Canis lupus familiaris: one gene and its partners. The protein of the gene in region 2 purifies or fractionates together with the protein of the main gene of each other region. This does not show direct contact. Links are inferred from orthologs where the notes say so. Each region holds a gene or a part of one and is shown on either strand. Other genes may lie near its edges.

Region 1 (7,080 bases), on a different chromosome or scaffold from region 2:
CCTCCTCAGTCCAACCCACATTGCTCTGTCCTCCACTCCTGCCTCCTTCCGTCCAGATGCCCATTTTAAGCTGGCCAGATGGGCCCTCCTACTCCCCTGCTTCCTTTTCTCCAGGTAGGCAAGTTACAGACCATCAGAGCCATTTGCTGTTTGTTCCCTGAGGAAGAGGCAGACTGCAAAAAATTCCTGTCCAAGGTCACGTCTCCCTCCCTGAAAATACCTCAGTCAGCACAACCCCAATTAGGATTTAATCCCCAGGCCCAGGTTCTGGGGTTCTTCCCCCTCCTTTTTTTTTTCTTAAAGATTTTATTTATTCACGAGAGACAGAAAGAGAGACAGACACAGGCAAGAGAAGAGGCAGGTTCCCTGCGGGGAGCCCAATGCGGGACTCAATCCCAGGACCCCAGGATCACAACCTGAGCCGAAGGCAGACGCTCAGCCTCTGAGCCACCCAGGCGCCCTCTTCCCCTCTTCTTAGCTATAATCTGTGACAAGTTTGAAAACGTGACTCCTTGCTGCAAGAACCTGTTTCCCTTACTACCTCAGAGGAGTCAAGTGGGAGCAGAGAGGCCTCACCATCTGGGCGATGCCACGGTTGGTGAGGATATAGCGGGCGTGGATCAATCCATAAAGCATCTCGGCTGCCTGCTCAATCAGGTCGCTCTGGTTGGGGTTGTCTTCCAGCTCTTCATCTGAAACATGGCCGCAGCCAATTGCAATCACTTGTCTTACAGCTTTCTTAGGTGCCCCATCCACCTCCAGGGGCTGCTGGCTACTCATCTTTGCGCCACCCATCACCTGGGCATTTGACCCAGAAACCTGGGCCTCTGGCCCTTCCACCCACCCACCCAAGGCAGCTCTGCCTTCTCTCTATACCTCTTCAGCCTTTACTCTCTTCTCTCCCTCCCAACTCTCTCAACACATAAATGAAAAAGATCAACATAGAAGCTGGAACTCTAGACTGAAAGGTGCAAGGCAAGACAGGTAAGCAGGAAATGAGATCCATGAGGAAACTAACATTAAGGGAGAGAGCCAAGTTACAGGATCAGAGTGTAGAATGAGGCTGTCACAAATCCAGGCAAAAGTCAGATGAGAGAGCAAAATAAAGTACAGAACTTAGGACAAAAGCAATCAGAGAACCAAAAGGAAATTTAGAAATTCAAGAAGCAGATCAACAGGAATTTGGGAGAAAAAAGAAAAACCACACACACACACACACACACACAAAGATAACCCCGAGGATGCCTCACCAGGCTCCAGGTCCAAGATCATGTCTAGAGCTTGTCGATAGTGAGGCACCTGCTCATTGAGTCCAGTGAGATTGAATTTATCCTGGATGTAGTCTTCATCCACCTGTCAGGATGTGGAAGTCAAGAAGAAACCCATAGCAGAATCCTCAGCTTTGATCTGGGCACATTGCTCTAATTGGTGCCTTGTTTCCAACACAACTGCTTCTGTTTTCCCTAATTCCCCACACCAACTCAGCAGAAATCCTTGAGTCTCTCTCCCCAGTTCACATACACTGCCTTCCCATAAAAGCTCTGGCTTTTCTTTCCTAAGGATAAGCAGCTACAACAATCTCTTCCTTAACGAGACACTCCTTTTAAAATCCCTGTTCCTATTCTTGATCCCATCTCTACAGACCAGTTTTGTCCTCTCCTTACCGGCAGCTAGAACTCTAAGAAAAGCAGCGACTAAACAGCTTGGGTCCTGTGGGCAGTTATAATCCATTATATCATTAGCACAAAACTTTGCCTGTTACAAAACATTTTGATAAACGGCATTTTAATCCTAATAGGCTCCCAAATTAAGCACTACTAGTACAAGCCTAGCAATAATAATAAGAATAACAGTAGTAGTAGTAGTAGTAATAAAGTTGACTTTTCCAATATTACACCGCTGGACAGTAACAGGCTTGGGATGGGCAAGTCTTGCCACTTCACAAATTAGTGAGGGGAGTTACTGAAGGGACTCTTCCTTGACAGGAAAAAGTTTCTATGACAGCCTGTAAGAGAAGTAGAAGCTAAATATGTGGAAAAACATACAGCCAAACTTTGTGCGGACATAGCTGGGAGATTGAGAACTCACTTCACAAAAGAATTCATTGCCACGGAGCCCACAGAACCAGGATATCCAAGACACCTCCTCTGAGCTGCTCATCTTCACGTCAGCTGGGAAAAAAAAAAAAAAGAGGGTAAACAAAGGCCAAGCTCCCCCACCCTGTCTCTGGTACCTTCCCTCCTCCCCACACTCTGCTCCCCGACCATGGAAGAATTTGGAGCCCCCTTTTCTTAAAGGATCCTAGACCCTGGCGCACCTGCCTCCAATTCCTCTTATTCACTAGAGGCTCTTTGGAGTCCCACCACTTCTGAAAAACCGACAGGTCTAGGCTCACCCGTCCTACCCACACCCCTAACAATCCCGAAAACCAGCACCCTCTCCTCTTTACGTCAAGTCCCTCCCTCGCAGGGCTCTCGGCTCGAGATCCCTACCCCGCAGGTCTCCGCATGTCCCCGACACCTTTCCCAAGGGTTCCGAAGTTTATCCTTTCCAAGCAAAAGCCAGGACCCTTTCCCCTCACGACCTGGAGGTGGCCCTGGGTCCCTCTCACAGGAGTCCCCACACCCCGCCTCTCAGGCCAACCCTCCCTCCCCCGGTGCCGGACCGGGTCACTTCCTTCCCCACCCCCACACCAACGCGCGGAGACCCCATGTGCCGCGCCTAAGGACGGAAGACTCGATGCGGCAACGACCTCAGACTCACCGGCTGGGCGGGGACCGGGACCGGGACCGGGGTGGGGGAGGGGAGTTGCTGCTTCCAAAGAACCGCGACGGCTACAGCGCAGGCCGCGGACCCGACCGCGGCAGGCGAAGTAGCGAGGGGGGGGGGGCGGGGGGCGGTGTGTGTGGAAATTGGGGAGGGTGGGGAGAGGGCAACGCGCAAGCGCCAAGGGTCGGGCGCCGCAGTGAACGCCGGGAAATGGAGTCCCAGGTAAAGAGAAACTGGCGAAGCGAAGAACAGGCGAACTACGAATCCCAGGATGACCCACGAACGACCCTGGCGTCGCGAGGCCCAGGAACAAGACGCTCGGGGGTGGGGAGCAGCGGGATACCACCGGAAGCGGAAGCGCAGTACCCCGTTCTGGGCCAGGGAGTATGGGAAATAGAGTCGTAGGGTCGCGCAACTGAGGGGCCGGGAGGGGGCGGGGAAGGAACGGGGCTGGAGGGCTGGATTCCTGCAACTCCCCTCACACAGCGAGGCTCTGCCCCAGGTGTTTGCCGGCAGCCCAGGGTGCTGACCTCGTCCCCGACTACCCCACCGGGTCCTTGTTGCCTGCGGAGCCTCTCGCCAGAGTCAGGCCCGCCACTGGAGGCCCCACCCGGGCCGGTGCTTCACCCCGGGGTCTAGTCTCCTCAGGCGGGAGGTGAGGCCGGGCTCCTTGCTTGCGGGACGTGGGAAGAGTGGGCTGGGCTGAGGTGAGCGGTGTGAGAATTGGGACGGCCTGTGCGCTAACCTGAAGTGGCGCCAGCCATTCTGCTGCTCGTCCCCTTGCACTTTTCCATCTCCTCTCAGAGCTTGAATGGGGCCTTCTGCTGCGGGCACTAAGTGTGACCTTCGAACCCTGCTCAGAATAATGGTGAGGGGTGGCGTGACGTTATTTCACTTCACGGCTTCGGGGCATTCCACAGGTTTCCTCCCGCCTTCTCAGAGCCCTCCTTAACTCGGTGGTTTCGCAGGTCCAAAAACTGCGCTCGGAGTGGGGGGCCACGTTCCGGGAGGCGAAGGGCATTGTGGGGCGTTATGTAGAAGTAGGACCCCAACCGACAGAGCCTCTGTCCTCGCGCTGCCTGGGCACGTGGCATCCTGGAGGGTCCCACCGTGCGAAGGCTCAGCCTGGCGCTTCGCACACGCCCGCACCCTCAAGTTCTGCTTTGTGGTGGTTGATTTTTTTTTCAGTCACACATGTGTGTCTGGGTCGTGTGGCTATTGGACTGGCAGCACCTTTGCTTAGATAAAATTTTTGTGGTACAGAGACCCTGTGGGGTCTCCACAGAGACTGGAGTTTCTCCCCCAAATCTTCTTCTTGCATCCGGAGAAGGTTAAAAGTCTGTTTTTGTTTGGAAAGACCCTACCCTGACATAGGATCAAGGAAGATTTAAAGGGCTAGGCTGATTGTTTTCTTAACTGCACGTCTTACCTGGTGATCAAGTAGTTTGAGAGAGAAGCTGTTTTTACTTATTGGTGAGGATAGGGATGGGCCTCTGGGCAATTCTCATTAAATCTTTGTTAAGTTAACCTTTACGAGGGATATGGGCTGTTATTGTATGGCTCCCTGTTTTTCCACATGACCTATGGTCCTTAGGCCCTGTAGGGTCCTAGGTTGTGGGGTCACTTAGAGTATAAGACGGGTTTTTGACTTGGAAAAGGCTACTTTTCCTCATCCCAGCAGATCTGTGGAGGTGGTTCTGGTCAGTGCAGAGCCACCAAGGGATTGGCTTGCTTGTCTCATACGCCCTTTAATTAGTCTCATTGTCTCAGTTCTCCCAAAAGCCATGTCCAGGCCCTCCCTCATCACCTTCACCCCGGCCACCAACCCCAGTGACCTCTGGAAAGATGGGCAGCAGCAGTCACAGCCTGAAGAGCTGGAGCCCACCCTGAATGGGGCTGCAGCCCGGGCTTTCTATGAGGCCCTGATTGCAGAAGAGAGCAGCATCCCTGCATCCCAGAGATCTCAGCCTGAACCTGACAGGAAAAGAAAGAGGAAGAAGAGAAGAATGATGGGGGAAGCTGCTGTAGGAGCCTCAGCAGGACATGGACAAAGGAGATCCCTTGAGGCAGAGGACAAGATGACCCATTGGATACTGAGGGCAGCCCAGGAGGGTGACCTAGCAGAACTAAGAAGGCTCTTGGATCCCCACGAGGCAGGGGGAGCGGGGGGCAATATCAATGCTCGGGATGCCTTCTGGTGGACCCCCCTGATGTGTGCTGCTCGAGCAGGCCAGGGGGCTGCTGTGCGCTATCTCCTGGGCCGTGGAGCTGCCTGGGTGGGTGTCTGTGAGCTGGGTGGCAAGGATGCTGCTCAGCTGGCTGAAGAAGCGGGTTTTCCTGAGGTGGCGCGCATGGTCCGAGAGAGCCACGGAGAGACGAGGAATCCAGAGAACCGGTGAGAGGAAGCCTTAACCCATGCCCATCTTTCAGTGTGTTCTGCCCTTCCTAGTCCCTCCATGCCAGAGGCTCCGGAACAGACTCAAAGATTCTCTCCCTGATCCCCAGTGTAGGTTGATATGGCAATGGAATCGAGTAGTAGTAAATGTGAGCTCCCTGTTTTTTTTGTGTGTGTGTTTTTTTAAGATTTTTATTTATTTATTCATGAGAGACACAGAGAGAGAGAGAGAGGCAGAGGGAGAAGCAGGCTCCCTGCAGGGAGCCCGATGTGGAACTCATCCAAGGTCTCCAGGATCACACCCTGGGCCAAAGGCAGGCGCTCAACCGCTGAGCCACCCAGGTGTCCCAGCTCCCTGGGTTTAAATTCTGATTCTACTTACTTGGTCAAGCAACCTAATTTTTATGTGCCTCATTTTCCTTATCTGAGAAATGGGGGGTAACAAGAGCACCTGTTAAAGAATTGTGAGGATTTAATGGGTCAATATATGTAAAGTGTTAGGATGACGGTTTACCATATATATATATATATAGTTAATATATATATATAGGGGATTAACTATATACATATATATAGGGGATCCCTGGTGGCGCAGGGCGCGATCCTGGAGACCCGGGATCGGATCCCACATCGGGCTCCCGGTGCATGGAGCCTGCTTATGTCTCTGCCTCTCTCTCTCTCTCTTTCTCTCTGTGACTATCATAAAAAAAAAAAAAAATTTTTTTAAACTATATATATATAAATATACATATATAAATATATATATAAATTGTAGTTATTATGCCTTGCCCAAGATCTTGTGAAGCCTGGTTGCTATTTCTTCTAGCTGTTCCCCTCTGGGTCCCTCATTGCTAAGTGGGTTGGAAGGCAATTTCTTTCTTAGCAGAAAGGCTAGAAGGACTTCCCACCTTGCCACCCCGCTCTGCCTGCCTCCCTCTCCACTCCCTCCACTCTTCCCCTGCCCTCATCTCTTTCTCTTTTTCCCCTACAGGTCCCAATCCCCTTCCTTCCAGTACTGCGAGACCTGCAATGCTCACTTCCAAGACTCTAATCATTGGACATCCACTGCTCACCTGCTGTCACTGCCTCGTGATCTCAGGTCCCCCAACCTGCCCCTTGGGGTGCCCGCCTCCAGCCCAGGCTTTAAGCTGCTGCTGAGGGGAGGCTGGGAGCCTGGAATGGGGCTGGGACCCCGGGGTGAGGGCCGCACCAACCCCATCCCCACTGTCCTCAAGAGGGACCAGGAAGGATTAGGCTACAGATCGGTGCCCCAACCCCGAGTCACACACTTTCTGGCCCGAGATACTCGGGCCATAGCTGGGAGGGAGAGAGCCCCTCGGGTGACCACACTGAGCTGGAGAGAGGAGAGAAGGCAGGAGGAGAAAGACAGGGCCTGGGAGTGGGATCTGAGGACATACATGAACCTTGAGTTCTGACCTTGGTAAGGTCTGATCCTGATCTATTGCTGAAGTCTGAACTTGGACCTAGGCACTTTAGCTTTTACTTCTGGGGGTCTGTCCAGGTTCCAAACACTCAGATTGTAGTCAGTGGGCTCTGCCTTTCGGAGAGAGAAGCTGAGAGCTGAAAAATAAATCAAATTTCTTCTTTTGTGTTTTATTCACTTTTCTGGAAGCTATTGTGGGAAAGGCCAAACAAGTCTGGGGGCCACATGCAAATCCTACCTGAGCCAGAAGGGGTAGCCCTTTCTGGTGGCAGGATAGGGTCACCTACCCGCCCGTCTGGTTCACTTCCAGGTGCTAGCCCCAGCCTGGAATGCCCCCAGCTATTCTTTCAATCCCCTGAACCAGGAATTGCCCAAGCTCTATGCCAGGCTTGCCTGCACCAGTAAGTGTCCCCTGACCACTCCAGTCAATTCAATCACTGTTTTATTTTTTCAAGTACTGACTTTTTTTTTA
Region 2 (6,980 bases):
TAGCTGAAGCATCTGTTCTCCCAACAGGCTTATTCACTTCCCTAAAGTGTCAACATTTAGACCTGTGACACAGTTGAAATTGTTAGAAGAGTGCAGGTCAAAGATCTTGATGAGTTCAGCTTCCTTTCATGCTGCCCAGACCCCTCACCAGTGCCTTTTCTTACTGGAATAGGAGAGTATTTGGGGAGATGGTCCCAGAATGCTGAGTGCTCCTTGGGGCAGTAGACACAGAGAAAGCATTCGATGGGGGGGCACCTGAATTGGTGTTCCACCATCTATGTGTTTCATGGACCCGAGTCCAGGATTTCTCAGCCCTGGCTCTATTGATGTTTTATGCTGAGTGGTACTTTATCCTCTACAATGGAGCATGTTTAACATCATCCTGGGCCTCTGCCCACTGGATGCCAGTAGCATCTGCCCAGTTGTGGCAGTCAAGGATTTTTTTTTTTTTTTTTGTTCCCTGGGAAGGAGAATCTCCTCTGGCTGAGAACCAGTGCCTGATCCGAGTGGTACCCCCATTGCTGATGTTACAGATTGAACCAATAGTAGCTGCCTGGAAGCCTGCGTGGCCCAGGCCTCTTGGCAGACCCTCCAGATGGAATGTGTGAATGATGTGAAGGGTGTCCTTCCCGTGGACAAAGCAATCCGCACCCTTTTTCCATTGGTTTGGCGAATGGGTATGAGGGGATTCCAACGTACGCAAGAAAGATAATGCAGAATTAATGGAGGGCCCAGGAAAAATGTTGCCTAAGGACAAACTGGAAGTCGTGGCTGTAAAATTTTATGTACTTTGTGAGTACCATCAGGGAAAAGCAGGCTCAATTTCTGACCATGCCCGACTTTTGAGGGGAGCTGATTTTTCTCAACCCAACTCTTGAGTAAGATGTGATTCTATGCCCCCCTGGGGATTTCTGAATCTGGCTGCTTACAGGAAGTTGGGGATGGGCCTTGAGAATCTTTCTTCTGTGTCCTTGTCAGCCTGGACTGCCACGGAACCTCAGTTGTTACGGAGAGAAAATTCTTGCAGTTTGTCAGTGAGGATGGAATGAAATGTGCCTGAATGGTGCAGTGGAGGGAGAAAGAGAAGCAGTTGACTGTGGGCAGGAAGGATAGAATGCCATTCCATTCCTGAGTCACCTTAGAGTTTATGGGTAGTCTCTAAAAATTCTGATGATGTGTGGATTGGGGTTTGAGGCAAATGTGGCAGAAAATAATCAGGGAGTGCTATTTATTCCATGTGGTTTATGGGAATATTCGGGTATAGAGATGGCAGTGCTCCTGTGAATGATATAGCTATACTGTTCCTTATTTTCTGAAACATAGCTTTTGATGGATTGGTTTTATGCCTCTTCCCCTTCCAGAAAGAATCTGTAACAGACTGATAAGAAGATTTAATCATGAGACAAAATGAAAATAAAGTCTGTAAAAGATAAAAGTAGAATAGTAGGAGGTTCTGGGAAAGTTTAGGCACAGGAATAGGTTCCAGCCTTCAGATTGGCAAAATTGGGCTTTCATGTTGGCTGTGAGCTTCCTAGCAGTCAAAGCAAAAAGAGAAATACTTTAGTCCCTTAAAAGTTCTCTTATTTTTCCAAAAAGTTGGGGAGGAGGGGAAACCCAGTTGATTAAATGAAACACAGCTCTTCCTTGCACTGATGTTTGAAAGAAATATGTCCAGGGGATCCCAAGTGAGTGGTGGATGTAATTAAGAAGATGATTCTAAAATATGATTCAGTTAGGATGTCATCCCAGAGGTTGGAACAAAGACCTACCAGTCTTAAATCTAGAGCCGTTTGATGGTAGTTTTGGTCTTGAAGAATTGGCTTTGTATCAGGTTTTGTATCAGACTCTGCAGTAGAGCATTTTTTTCTTTTCTTTCTTTCTTTTTTTTTAAAAGATTTTATTTATTTTTTCATGAGAGACCCACAGAGAGAGGAGAAGCAGAGACACAGGCAGAGGGAGAAGCAGGCTCCATGTAGGGAGGCCGATGTGGCACTTGATCTCAGGACTCCAGGATCACATCCTGAGCCAAAGGCAGACACTCGATCACTGAGCTACCCAGGCATCCCTAGAGCATTTTTTTCAATGGTGTATTTTCACTTTCAAGTTTTTTTTTTTTTTTTTTAAAGATTTTATTTATTTATTCATGATAGTCACACAGAGAGAGAGAGAGAGGCAGAGACATAGGCAGAGGGAGAAGCAGGCTCCATGCAGGGAGCCCGATGTGGGATTCGATCCCGGGTCTCCAGGATCGCGCCCTGGGCCAAAGGCAGGCGCCAAACCGCTGCGCCACCCAGGGATCCCTCACTTTCAAGTTTATTAGGTAAAGAGCATATTACAGTGTGCCACAGTGACCTTCAGCTCACCTTTAGCCAGGAATGCTGCTTATATGTAGAATAGGCAGCCTGAGGTAGCAAAATAGCTTTCTAGTTGGTGATCTCAGAATAGAGGCAAAGGGAGGCTTCCTTAGAGACCCCGCTGTGCTTCCCTTACAACACCGGTAATTTCCATCTTTCTCTTAGAAAGACCCCCCTTCAGGTACTAGAATAAGTAGGTTAATTAAGTAGGGGCAGCTTCTGGAGTGTTGGCCTTGAAGAGATTCACCCTTTTCTGGGCTCTCGGTTTGATTATACACTCAAAATTTCTGGGACAAATGGAATTTCCTACCCCCCCACTTCCCCCAGTAAACCATTAGAATCTTCTAGAAATCAAAATATTTTAGTATCTAATTGGTAACCCCAAAGGGTACTTTGAGCCTAGAATCTTTTTTTGGATTGCACACTCCACAGTTTTTATTTGGAACAGAGGGCCAGCCATCACCACTGCAGAGCAGCAGCCCACCCACAAAGTTACTCTTTGCTTCTGCAAATCAGTAGAAAGAAAAGGACCTATTTGTGGTTGTCCTTTGTCTGAGGAGAGAGGGGCTAGGTTAGCTTCTCAACAGTAATGATATATATATTCATCACCTGGAAGGAAAGGGAGGCATGGAAGGTGCTTCTCTGCAAGTTAGAAGCTCCACCAGGGGACTGCCCTGGTGCACGGCTCTTAGAAAACCTGGGTTCAGAGCCCCCTTTCCTCCTGGAAGGTACAGGGGCTGTATCCAGTATCCAGCACGCAAAGTCATCCCGGCAAAGGATCAGGGTTCCTCACTGTATGAAGAGCTCCCTCCCTTTCCGGCTCCACTTATGAACTTGGCTGGGCTCTTCCTTCCTCTCCAGAGGAGCAGGAAGGCGGAGGAGAGCCAGACAGATGGGACGGCCACCAAGGAAGCTCCCTGCACCCCCTGGCCTCCTGAGTCAGGAAAGTCAGCCCCCCTCCCCTTTCTTTTTTTTCTGTCACTCTCCTTGACTTCCTAAAACTCAGGGTACTGAATATCCTTCCTGGAATAATCAAGGTCATGTCTTTTCTGGGTTACATAAATCTGAAAGGCACTTATGTCAAGGTACATTGTCTGATAAGTTGGGGGTGCTGACTTGTACCTGTGTTTTGTGTGTGATCCCTGGGCATCCTCTCTCGGGGGCAGACCCGCTCCACTGGTGGCTGGGACCTCGGCGGTGATAACGGACCCCCCTTTACAAATGAGCACAAGGGGGCTACCCCTTCTGTGCTGCTCAGTGCTTCTGGCTCTAACCCGCCTTCCTGCCACTCCTCACTGCCTGCTCTCACTGACCAAAATGCTGGCTGCTCCTGGACACGTCTTGGCTGTCGCAGTCACCCTCCAAATTCTCACTTCCGCCTGTTGAAATCCTGCCCCTCCCTCACAGCCCCCCCTCCCAGAAGACAGACTCCCGGAAAGCAGCCTTTTCCAAACTTGTCATTTACATTCATTATTCTTGCCCTTCCCAAGTCTTGCTTTGTATAATCATTGACTTCGTATTTTTATTTAAAGCTACTCTAAAATAAACTATGCTTTTAAAGCTCATTTTAGATGTAGATTTGACCATCGCACCAGTTATTGCCTGATAAAAGGTGGCAGTGGGAATAAACATATCAGAATTAAAAGCAGGGCGTATGCTTCCCATGATGAACACTAAGTAACATGCAGAATTGTCGAATCACGATATTGTACACCTGCAACAAATAGAACACCGTATGTTAACTCGACTGGAATTAAAGTGGAAAAAAAAACATTATAAAACAATATCAACAGCAACAAAGAAGCAAGTCTCCTTAGAGATAAATACCATGGTGTTGGGAAGGTTCTGGCTATGGAGTGGAATTCCCTTTAGTCCCAGGGGTCAAGGCCATTAAGAGCACACTGGGACTTAGTCCTGGAGGGAGTCAGAGGTCAAGGGAGACTCTCCTTCTGGGTGACTTCATGTTTCCAGTGCTTTGGCCCTTGGGAAGTTACCTGATACTTAGGGGTACAGGCTCTATAGGTTCTTTAGCCAAAAGGATTCTCTTAATCTCTGGGTCGACTTTGGTTGGGTGTTTCACAAAGTGCTTACCCAGTTCTAACCGTAACACAAGACAGCTTGTGGTGGTTCTGTTCCTCCACTCACTGGTGGACAGCTTGAGGGCAGGGGCTGGGTCTAGTTCGCCTCATTTGCCCCAGAGGCCCCTATAGGAGCCTCCGATGTGGGCAAGAAGAGGCCGACACTCTGAGATAGATACACAGCAGCGGCCTCTGTGGATAAGGTGAGATGTGCTCCTCCATCGGGGGTGGGGTCCTCCCACACTGAATTTGTTCAGCATTCTTGGTTGGCCTTGCTTTGTTTAACCCAGAACATGCTGGAGAAGAGAAACCCCGCAGGTGAACCTGAGTCCAATCTCTCCTCTTCTGTCCCCCCCGCCCCCCGACGCATCAGCTTTAGTTGTAGGCAAAGCTCCACCGTCCACTACGGCGGGCAGCCAGTCCCCACCTGAAACTCCGCTCCTCACCCGCTCCTCCTCCCAAACACCCACGGCTGGTGTCACGGCCACCACCAGCACCACGTCCACGGTCACGGCCCCGGCCGCCACCGCCGCCGCCGCCACTGCCGCCGCCACGGGAAGCCCGGTGAAAAAGCAGAGGCCGCTTTTACCGAAGGAGACTGCCCCGGCCGTGCAGCGGGTCGTGTGGAACTCGTCAAGTAAGTTTCAAACGTCTTCCCAAAAGTGGCACATGCAGAAGATACAGCGCCAGCAGCAGAGCCAGCAGCAGAGCCAGCAGCCTCAGTCTACCCAGGGGACGAGATATCAGACCAGACAGGCTGTGAAAGGTACCATGCCCCCTTCTGTTCAACGTGGCGCCCACTCCCTCCTCGCCACATCGACAGGAGAGACAGAAATGTTTTTCTTTTTTTTTCTTTTCTTTTTTTTTTTCAGTTCTTTTTTGTTTCATGGCCTTTGTATCTTGAAGGCCTCGCGCATTCCATGTGGCATTATTTTTAAAAGTTGTTTTGCGACTTGTTTTTTTCACTTTTATTTTTTTTCCCCTCTGTGTTAGAAACAATACATGCATATAGGCTTCTTAGAGAGGGGTAAAATATTTGCCCCACAATCTGTTGTCTTGACCGAACTTCCATTCCATTCTTCACCCTTTCTCAGTGGCCACTGTTAACCGTGAAACCTTTTTTATGCATGTATGCATATATATTTATGTATATATGACTCTTCATAAAAATAGTATTTTTTTCTTTTTCCTTTTTTTAAAACATACAAATGGTACCATACTTTTTTTTCTTCTTTTTTTCTTTTTTTTTTTTCACCCATCAGCATGTTTTGGAAGTTCATCCATGTTAGCACATATAGCTCTATCTATGTTATTTTGGACTGCTGCATAGTATTCCACAGTTGATTTAAATCAAGTATTCCCCTACTGATGGGCATTTAGGTTGCTCCCAGTTTTTTTTTTTCCCCCTGTTGTAAGCAGTGCTGCAATGAATACCTTTGTGTAAATTTTCTTGTGCACACCCATGAACCTCTTGGCATTATTTTGGGAAGAGTATGGTGTGAGGAATTGGTAGCAAAGGGTATCTTGATAACTAGAGGTTAGCCACCTACAGAAGAAGAGCCAGCATCAAGCACCAGTTGGCGAAGTTGTGGAGTCAAAACCACCCCCAGCCATGGAGGAGGCTCCATCTGGCATTGCTTGGATGAGTACCAGTTGGCCCAGCTTTCGTGAGCGCTAATGCAGATCTTGTCTCGCAGGGAAGCCTAGATCTAGATCCTTAGAGGTTGGGGTCTTTAGTTGAAACTCTCACATACTGAGTGCATCCTAGTGAGTAGAAGTATAAAGAGTTGCAGCAGGGTATGGGTCGAAAGGTAGCCAGGTCTCGAACAGCCCCTAAGAACCCTTTTGAAGACTGGAGGGTAGGAAGATTGGACAGGTGCAGTGGGAGTGCAGCTGGATTGCTCGCGGTATTTAAAGAGCTAATGGGACAGGATTGAATCCTAGTTCCAGTCTTTTTTTTGGTGTGTGTTCGTACCCGGTAAAAATTAGGAGCTTCTCCAGGGGAATTTAGGTGCTAGCAAGAAGAGGCCCATTGATGGTGTGGTTCTCAGTTTCCAAGTTGTCTTGTGTCAAAGACAAAGCTGGATACTAGTTAACCTGGTAAGGATGGGTTGTAATCAATATGTACTATTACAACAGGGAGAAAGCAGTCCAGCAGGAACTGAAGTCATTCCCAATTTGTACAGAAGTGACTGGGCGTTTTAAAAGGAGGATGAGTGTGGTGAGGGTGGGAAGGGACTGTGTAGAGACTCCAGTAGAGTCAGGGAGGTGAAATTTTACAAAAAATGGGAAGTAGTGGTTGGTCCATGTGAAACCCATACGGGGTTGCTAATAATGCTTTTTGGAGTTAGACTCCTACCATCCCATGGAGACCAGGAGACAGGGGTCGTTGAGTGTTGGCTAGAACAAATGGTAAATTCACTTGGCAGCCTTGGTTTCTCAGGCAGGTACTTTGGCAGCGGGGACTGGAGTCATCCTAGAGAAGTGAACTTGAGCTGTTGGAAGCCATGTTAGTGTTTACGGAAGGCTTTATGGGCCAAGCTTGAGG
Region 3 (7,080 bases), on a different chromosome or scaffold from region 2:
GCAAAAAAGTACCTGATTAGAAAAAAAAAAAAAAAAAAAGACCAAAAAAATTAGAGAAAAGGATCGGCAGATTCTACCTAAAAGCTAATAAAATATGTTGTAATGATACTTTTGGATGAAGTATATGACAGTGCCTGCATATTTTCAGAAACTCCCAAAACATCTGCTTCACACTTCCACCTCTGACCCTCAGTGAGGTGGACAATATAAAGATTATAAAGCCATAATGTCTGGGAAGATTTCTTTCAACCCTTTACACATGTAATAGGTTTTGGAAATCATGCATACCCATCAAATATAAATAAAATGAATTAAAGGGAGCCTCAAACCTGTCTGCCAAGCCTTCTCTTGCCATGCACATGAGGATGTTCCCGCTGAAGCAAAGCCATTAAGGCAATTATTCTAGAACAAGGTGGTCAAACTAGAGTCCTCTGGGTATATAATCACCACCAGTTTTTGTATGACCCACGAGATAAAAATGTTTTTTCTATTTTAAAGTAGTTGAAAAACAAATCAGATTATTTTGTGGCACGTGAAATTTATATGAAAATTCAGTGAAAATTATTTATATGAAATTTCAGTGTCTATTATAAAGTTTTATTGTAGTACAGCCAGGCTCATCCATATTGTCTGAGGTTGCTTTCTCACTGTAAGGTGGCAAAGCTGAGTAGTTGTTCCCATCACCTAAAATATTTACTCTCTGGCCCCCATCAGAAAAACGTTTGCCACCCAGTGTTCTAGAATATGAGAGCTGTGCTATTTAAACACCCTTCCAACCCTCCTTCCTCTGCAGCCGAGACCCCCACTGCCCTGCCCCGCCACAGCTTTAGTCCCTAACAAGATTCCTGGGCCTAACATGAAGGCAGAGCGTTACAATAATGAACTGTAACCTACTGTAAAGCAGACACATCAGACAGTAAATTTCTATATAAGGTAATATTACTGGTTTTGCCACCAAGTAGAGTAAGGGCTGAGTTTGTTTTCTGATCGGAAAAGTGGGCATCACAGCGGCAACTGAACAATTTCGTTTGAGGATCACCATGGTCACTCTTGTGAAAGCACTTGGAAAATATCAAGGTACCAAATGTTCTCGGGTGCTTTTGCAGAGGGAGCCTCTCTCCTAATCTGGATGTACACTGAGGTTCTCTTTGTGCGTAGGCATCTCGGCCACGTCCTCCCACCCGGTACCCTCTGGCCCTCACAGCCCTCCTGGCCTTGCAGCTCACTTTCTCCTCACCCCCACGCACTCCTCAGGGGCTACCAAGTTTCAAGGCAAGCAGGGCTCAAGCAAGCCATCCCGGGTCCGCATAGGGCAGCTGTCCCCAGCTAAGCCATCGCGGAGTGGGGTCGCCCTGGGACCCCCACGGGTGACGAGAATGACTCAGCAGGGGCCAGCACGGAGACAAGAACGTAGGGACAAAATTCTCTGCAGTTCGAGAGGCCGCAAATCATTTTAAGGACCCAAATGTGCAAACAAACAGTGTAATTCAAGTCAGCTTCGGGCCGTCGGAGGCCTTGTGCCAGTAACAGGCCGCAAGTTTAGCCTAACAGGGAGGCCCCTCGGCTTTAGCAGTCAAAAAACGCCCGCGGCCTCTGTAAAAGGTTTCCTCAGCCTGCAACGAACCCCACCTCAGCTCGACCGGACCCCGGGAAAAGCCAGTCGACTAGAGGGAAGCCTTTCAGGGTACACAGAATTGCATGCCCGTGATTATCCGGGAGACGTTGAGGGCACAGTAATCTCTCGAGACTAGAAACCATTTTCCTCTCGCTCTGAGATTTTGCTTGGCTAAGCCGCGTCAACCTCCCTGCCCCCCTCCCACCCCACCGCCACGGCCGCTGCAAGCAGCCACGCCCCGCGGCCCCGGGGCTCACAGCCCCCGCGCAGCCCGCACGCCGCGCCCCCATCCGCCCCACCCCCGCGCGCCCCCATCCGCCCCCGCGCCCGGCCCTGGGAGCGCTGGGCGAGCCCTCGCGCCTGCGCCTCGCCAACTTCCTGCCGCGGAACGCCCCGCCCACCCCCAGAAGCCCGCCCACAAATGCCGCGTGAAACCTGCGTGCCGCACCTCATTGGTTGAAACAACCGAGCCGTTGGCTCCCAGGCCCGCCTCTCCACCGCCTCTCACTTTTCCCAGGGCGGATGCGCCTGCGCTCAGCTGCCTGGGCGGGCTGGGAGGCGCGGGTTGAAAAGTCTCGTTCCAAGTTTGGAGAGAGAGAGAAGAGCGCCTCAGACCTCGGTACCCGCGAGCGGGGAGGAGGCAGGAGAGAAGGACGCAGCGTTTGGGGAGCACCCAGGCCGTAAGACGGAGCTCACGCTTCGAGAGCTAGAAGTGTGTGACGCGCCTGGGCGAGGCAGGAACGCCTGCGGTTGGGCTGCTGTTGGCTAGCGAGGGGAGTCCGAGGCGGCGGCGAGGGGCGAACGACCCGACGCAAGATGGCGAGTAAAGAGAGTAAGAGGCCCTGCGGGGCGGCGCGCGCCGGGACCGCGGGGGGCGGCGGGCGCGCGAGGCCGCGGCACGCGCCGGCGAAAGGCGCGAATTGGCGTGAGGAGCAGGGGGCGGGGCCGGGCGCGAGGCTAGGCGCGCGCCTCGAGGGGCCTACAGCGGGACGGGACCGCGGCGCGGAGGGCTCCGAGCACTTCCGGAGCCGGGCGCGGGGCCGCGGGTTGGGCCCCCTTCCCCCTCTGCCCCCCCCCGCTCCCCTCCCCCCCCTCTGGCGGCGGCGCTCCCTCCGGCGCCCTTGGCTCTCGGGCGGAGGCGGCCTCCGCCACCGGAAAGCGGACACGGCTGCTCCTTCCACGCGCGCGCGTCGACCGCTTCGGGGTCGCGGCCCTTGTCCGGGGGATTCTGGCACACGCCGGCCTATGGCTGCTGACGCGGGCTTCGTGGGAGCGGAGGCCGCTCCTGGTGGGGGATGGAGGGAGCGGGCCGAGGGGTTTCTGCTACACGTGGATTCGTCTCCCGGGGTGGGTCGTGGAGCCCCTGCACAGATGGGTCGTCATCTTAGAACAGGTGCGAACAGCTGTAACTGCTGAAACAAAATCGTCGTCTGTGTAATTGCCCAATTCTGTATACGCAAGCAGTATCGATTTCTAAGTGCAAAAAATAAGCTTCCTGGTGTTAATATTCTCCTCACGTTCTGGAAGAGCAGTTAGTTCGTGTCCAAATTAAACGTAAAGCTGAGGAGTAGATTAGGTGTGGCCATCTCGAGGTGACCTCCACTATCTGTGTACAGATTCTAACTCGATTTCTCTCAGCCACTTAATTGTGTGGGATTTCTCCAAATTTCAGTGTTTGAAGATACTGTGGAGGAGCGTGTCATCAATGAAGAATATAAAATCTGGAAGAAGAATACACCGTTTCTGTATGACCTGGTTATGACCCATGCTCTTCAGTGGCCGAGTCTTACCGTTCAGTGGCTTCCTGAAGTGACTAAGTAAGGGTTTCTGGCAACTTTTACTTTGCATAAATTTGACTATTATCCCGAAATTCCTAGTTTTGGCATTTTACACATAGAACATGAGCGTGTAATCAATTTAGCCCTTGCATGAGGTGGCAGGTGATTTTTATTTTCAAAACAAGTGATTTATGGGATGGTTTTTGATATGTAAGCGTGGGGACAAAGTGCGATTAATGATATTTGTGGGGAGCATCTAACGAATTTAACAGTTCTTGGGATTAAATATAGAGCAGCATTTTGGGGACCCAGACTAATGGATTTCTTTAAAACTTTATTGAAAAAGAGCACACGTACAGAAAAATGCACAAATCATAAGCATATGGCTGGATGGATTTTTACGAAGGGAGCACATCCATGTAACCAGCCACCACTATATGAATAGGTTTTTTTTTTTTTTTTTTTTTTTTTTTTTTAATTTATTTATGATAGTCACACAGAGAGAGAGAGAGAGGCAGAGACACAGGCAGAGGGAGAAGCAGGCTCCATGCACCAGGAGCCCGATATGGGATTCGATCCCGGGTCTCCAGGATCGCGCCCCGGGCCAAAGGCAGGCGCCAAACCACTGCGCCACCCAGGGATCCCTATATGAATAGGTTTTAATTGACAAAGGGAAAAAAGAATTTAGCAGTAGTTCACTGAAGAAAAGACGTTACTAGCTGATAGTGTGGAATACACTTGGAGGTTGCTGTTGGTTCTTTTCAGCCGTTTCTAAAATTTCTCTGGTAATAATTGCTGGTATTATTGAACACTTAAAATAGGGCCTGGCACATCTCAACAGTTTTGTGTCCAGTTGTTTAATATTCAGAATTATACTATGAAAAAGTATACTATGATTATTCTTTATCATCTTTGTCTTACTGTTGTGGAAACTGGGGTGGGGGTGTTAAAATACCCAGGATCATCCAGCAAGTGGTGGAGTGGGATTTTGAACCCAAACCGGGTACCCCAGAGTTGAGGCAACTCCTGTATTATTAGACTTTCTTAAGCGCTTGCACTTTTTCTAGTAGGAACTTGGCTGTGTACTTTAAAAGTATTTAATTTGGGTATTGTGAACATATATTTTTAATGAGGATTAACAAAACTAACGTAGGAAGGGGATTTTGAGACAATTTCTGAAAATAAGAGCAAGTTAATTTTCTATGAGGTTACTCCTTTAATGGCCGAATTCTCCATATGCAGACATTGTCTTCCATATAGGTAGAGGCTTTTATTAGGATTCCCCAAAATCAGTGTAAATACACAGATGTGATAAGAATAGCCAAGAAATAAAAAACAGACTTCAAAACACTGACATAACAATTTTGAACATCAAATACTTAAGGGTATTCAGGTTCTCCTTTGAGCACCATGTACTTTTGATTCTTTGTGCACTCCTGTTAAGTAAATTAAAACCTTTAACAGCTTAATTTACATTATTTTGGATCTTTTTGATCTACCTTACCAGCAGAACACAGCGGAGGTGTTTAGGACTCTAAGGTTAGAAACCTGAGTTTGAATCCTGCCGCCTGCTTCTTAATAGCTAAATTAGGGCACATTGGTCAGTCTCTATTCCCAAGCTGTCTGATCTGTAAGTGGAGGTGCTGGTGCTTCTGACTGCCTACTTTTGAGGAAATGAAATAAGATCATGCACTTTTAAAGTGCTGGCACAGAAGAAGTCCGCAATAAGTGGTGACTGATGCTGATTTTCTCCCCCTTTGTATTCAGAAATAATTAGACTGTAGTAACTGTGTTTCTCCATTTGGATTCCAGTGAAAACTGCTTATTCAAGTCTTCTGAAAATGTTATCTGTGTTTTGTGTAACAATTTTAAGGATGTTAAATGTGTATGTTCTTAGCCCGGATACTGCTTTTGAAAAGATTTTTATTTTTAAGTAATCTCTACACCCAACGTGGAGCTCAGATTTACAGCCCTGAGATCAAGAGTCACATGTTCCACCTACTGAGCCCGCCAGCCCCCCGCCAATACTGCTTTTATGTTAACACTTAAGAACTTAACAAAAAATACTTTAAATGATGTATTCCGTGGTGTTCTTTGCATACAAAGAAGTGGGATCTGGTTGTGGGATGTGCAGTTGCTCTGGGAATGCAAGAAAATGCCAGCCAGCCTGCATTCTTGGATGTTGAGGATGGCTGTGTGGTACTTTTGCAGGATTCTACTTGGAGTATGAAGGGACTGTGATTGTGTTTTGTTACTATACGGAACACCGGAGATGTTGGCTACTCTTATTCCCAGGGTCTTTGAGGAATGTGATGCTAGTCAACCTCATGAGGCTTTTACCTACATACTACATAGAGCATACCTCCCAATAATTACTTGCACTTTCTGAACTGTTGTCCTTAAACTAAATTAGGTAATTGTCCACATGGTGGATTTGCCTTGTAAAAATTTTTATTTAGGGGGGAATCCCTGGGTGGCTTGGCGGTTTAATGCCTGCCTCTGGCCCAGGGTGCGATCCTGGAGTCCCGGGATCGAGTCCCGCGTCGGGCTCCTGGCATGGAGCCTGTTTCTCCCTCTGCTTGTGTCTCTGCCTCTCTCTCTCTCTCTCTCTCTTTCTCTATCATGAATAAATAAAATCTTAAAAATTTTTTATTTAGGTATTTCTAATCTGTAATTCCATTATTCCATATTTTTTATTAAATAATTTCTTAAACATCTTGAGACTAACTTATTCTGTACTTAGAAACCTTTGTAATCCTTCAAATTCAGATGGTACAAAGTACATAGAGAAAATAATAAGTCTCCCTTCCATGTTCCCTGTTCTCCTGGTTTATTACCCAGAGTTGAGTCATTTTTGGCTGGCTTTTTTAACTGATCCTGCCAGAAATAAGTGTATATACACATTACACACACCTACCCTCCATCTCTCTCTCTCTCTCTTCCCCCCTCCCCCCCTTTGGGTGAACTGGTTGTGCATGAGCAGGGGGAGGGGCAGAGGGCAAGGGAGAGAGAGAAACTTAAGCAGATTCCCTGCTGAGTGCAGAGCTTGACACAGGGCTTGATCTCAGGACCATGAGATCATGACCTGAGCGGAAACCAAGAATTAAACACTTAACTGACTGAGCCACCTAGGCACCCCTCCCCTAAATCTTTTTTTAATGATAGCAAGTTACTCACTTGACTTTACAGTTTGTAGTTTATGTTGGAGACTTCCTATCAGCATGCTTAGATATGCTCTTTTGCTTTAAGGGCTCCATAGAATTCCCTTTATGAATATACTATTATGTATATCACCAGTTCTTTTTAAAATTTTTTAGAGATTTTTTAAAAAGATTTTATTTATTCATGAGAGAGGCAGAGACCTAGGCAGAGGGACAAGCATACTCCATGCAGGGAACCCGATGTGGGACTCGATCCCGGGACTCCAGGATCACACCCTGAGCCAAAGGTGGACACTCAACCGCTGAGCCACCCAGGTGTCCCACCAGTTCTTTATTAATAGATATTTAAAGGTTGTCATCAGTCTTTTTCCACTAAGACAATGCTACTGAGAATAATCTTGTGATAATCTGTGATTGTTAGGTGACTTTCTTAGCCGTGGAGTCTTAAGTGATTGATCAAAGGATGCTGGCACTGAAAAATGGACAAGGTCTTTTAACATTAGTGCTCCTGCAGCTTTAGGTGCAT

The links. Proteins that work in one complex are often made in the same cells at the same time.
Region 1: the proteins of ZMYND8 (region 2) and CSNK2B purify together in Homo sapiens (affinity purification with mass spectrometry; 3 studies listed by BioGRID and IntAct, with this or other methods). This does not show direct contact. The link is inferred for Canis lupus familiaris from reciprocal best matches to the Homo sapiens genes ZMYND8 and CSNK2B.
Region 3: the proteins of ZMYND8 (region 2) and histone-binding protein RBBP7 purify together in Homo sapiens (affinity purification with mass spectrometry; 3 studies listed by BioGRID and IntAct, with this or other methods). This does not show direct contact. The link is inferred for Canis lupus familiaris from reciprocal best matches to the Homo sapiens genes ZMYND8 and RBBP7.

What each region holds. Positions count from the first base shown.
Region 1 is NC_049233.1:1,284,691-1,291,770, reverse strand, and holds the start of CSNK2B (casein kinase II subunit beta), read right to left. Parts: upstream 3,654-7,080; 5' UTR 3,564-3,653; coding exon 3,515-3,563; exon of another isoform or gene 3,436-3,514; intron 3,425-3,435; exon of another isoform or gene 3,017-3,424; intron 2,917-3,016; exon of another isoform or gene 2,764-2,916; intron 2,641-2,763; exon of another isoform or gene 2,493-2,640; intron 2,172-2,492; coding exon 2,089-2,171; intron 1,354-2,088; coding exon 1,251-1,353; intron 693-1,250; coding exon 577-692; intron 1-576. Other genes in the region: GPANK1 (G patch domain and ankyrin repeat-containing protein 1), read left to right, coding at 4,554-5,164, 6,156-6,600. UniProt on the Homo sapiens protein: Regulatory subunit of casein kinase II/CK2.
Region 2 is NC_049245.1:34,968,481-34,975,460, reverse strand, and holds part of ZMYND8 (protein kinase C-binding protein 1), read left to right. Parts: intron 1-4,805; coding exon 4,806-5,198; intron 5,199-6,980. UniProt on the Homo sapiens protein: Chromatin reader that recognizes dual histone modifications such as histone H3.1 dimethylated at 'Lys-36' and histone H4 acetylated at 'Lys-16' (H3.1K36me2-H4K16ac) and histone H3 methylated at 'Lys-4' and histone H4 acetylated at 'Lys-14' (H3K4me1-H3K14ac).
Region 3 is NC_049260.1:13,086,976-13,094,055, reverse strand, and holds the start of histone-binding protein RBBP7, read left to right. Parts: upstream 1-2,845; 5' UTR 2,846-2,860; coding exon 2,861-3,008; intron 3,009-3,287; coding exon 3,288-3,432; intron 3,433-3,438; exon of another isoform or gene 3,439-3,838; intron 3,839-4,049; exon of another isoform or gene 4,050-5,469; intron 5,470-7,080. UniProt on the Homo sapiens protein: Core histone-binding subunit that may target chromatin remodeling factors, histone acetyltransferases and histone deacetylases to their histone substrates in a manner that is regulated by nucleosomal DNA.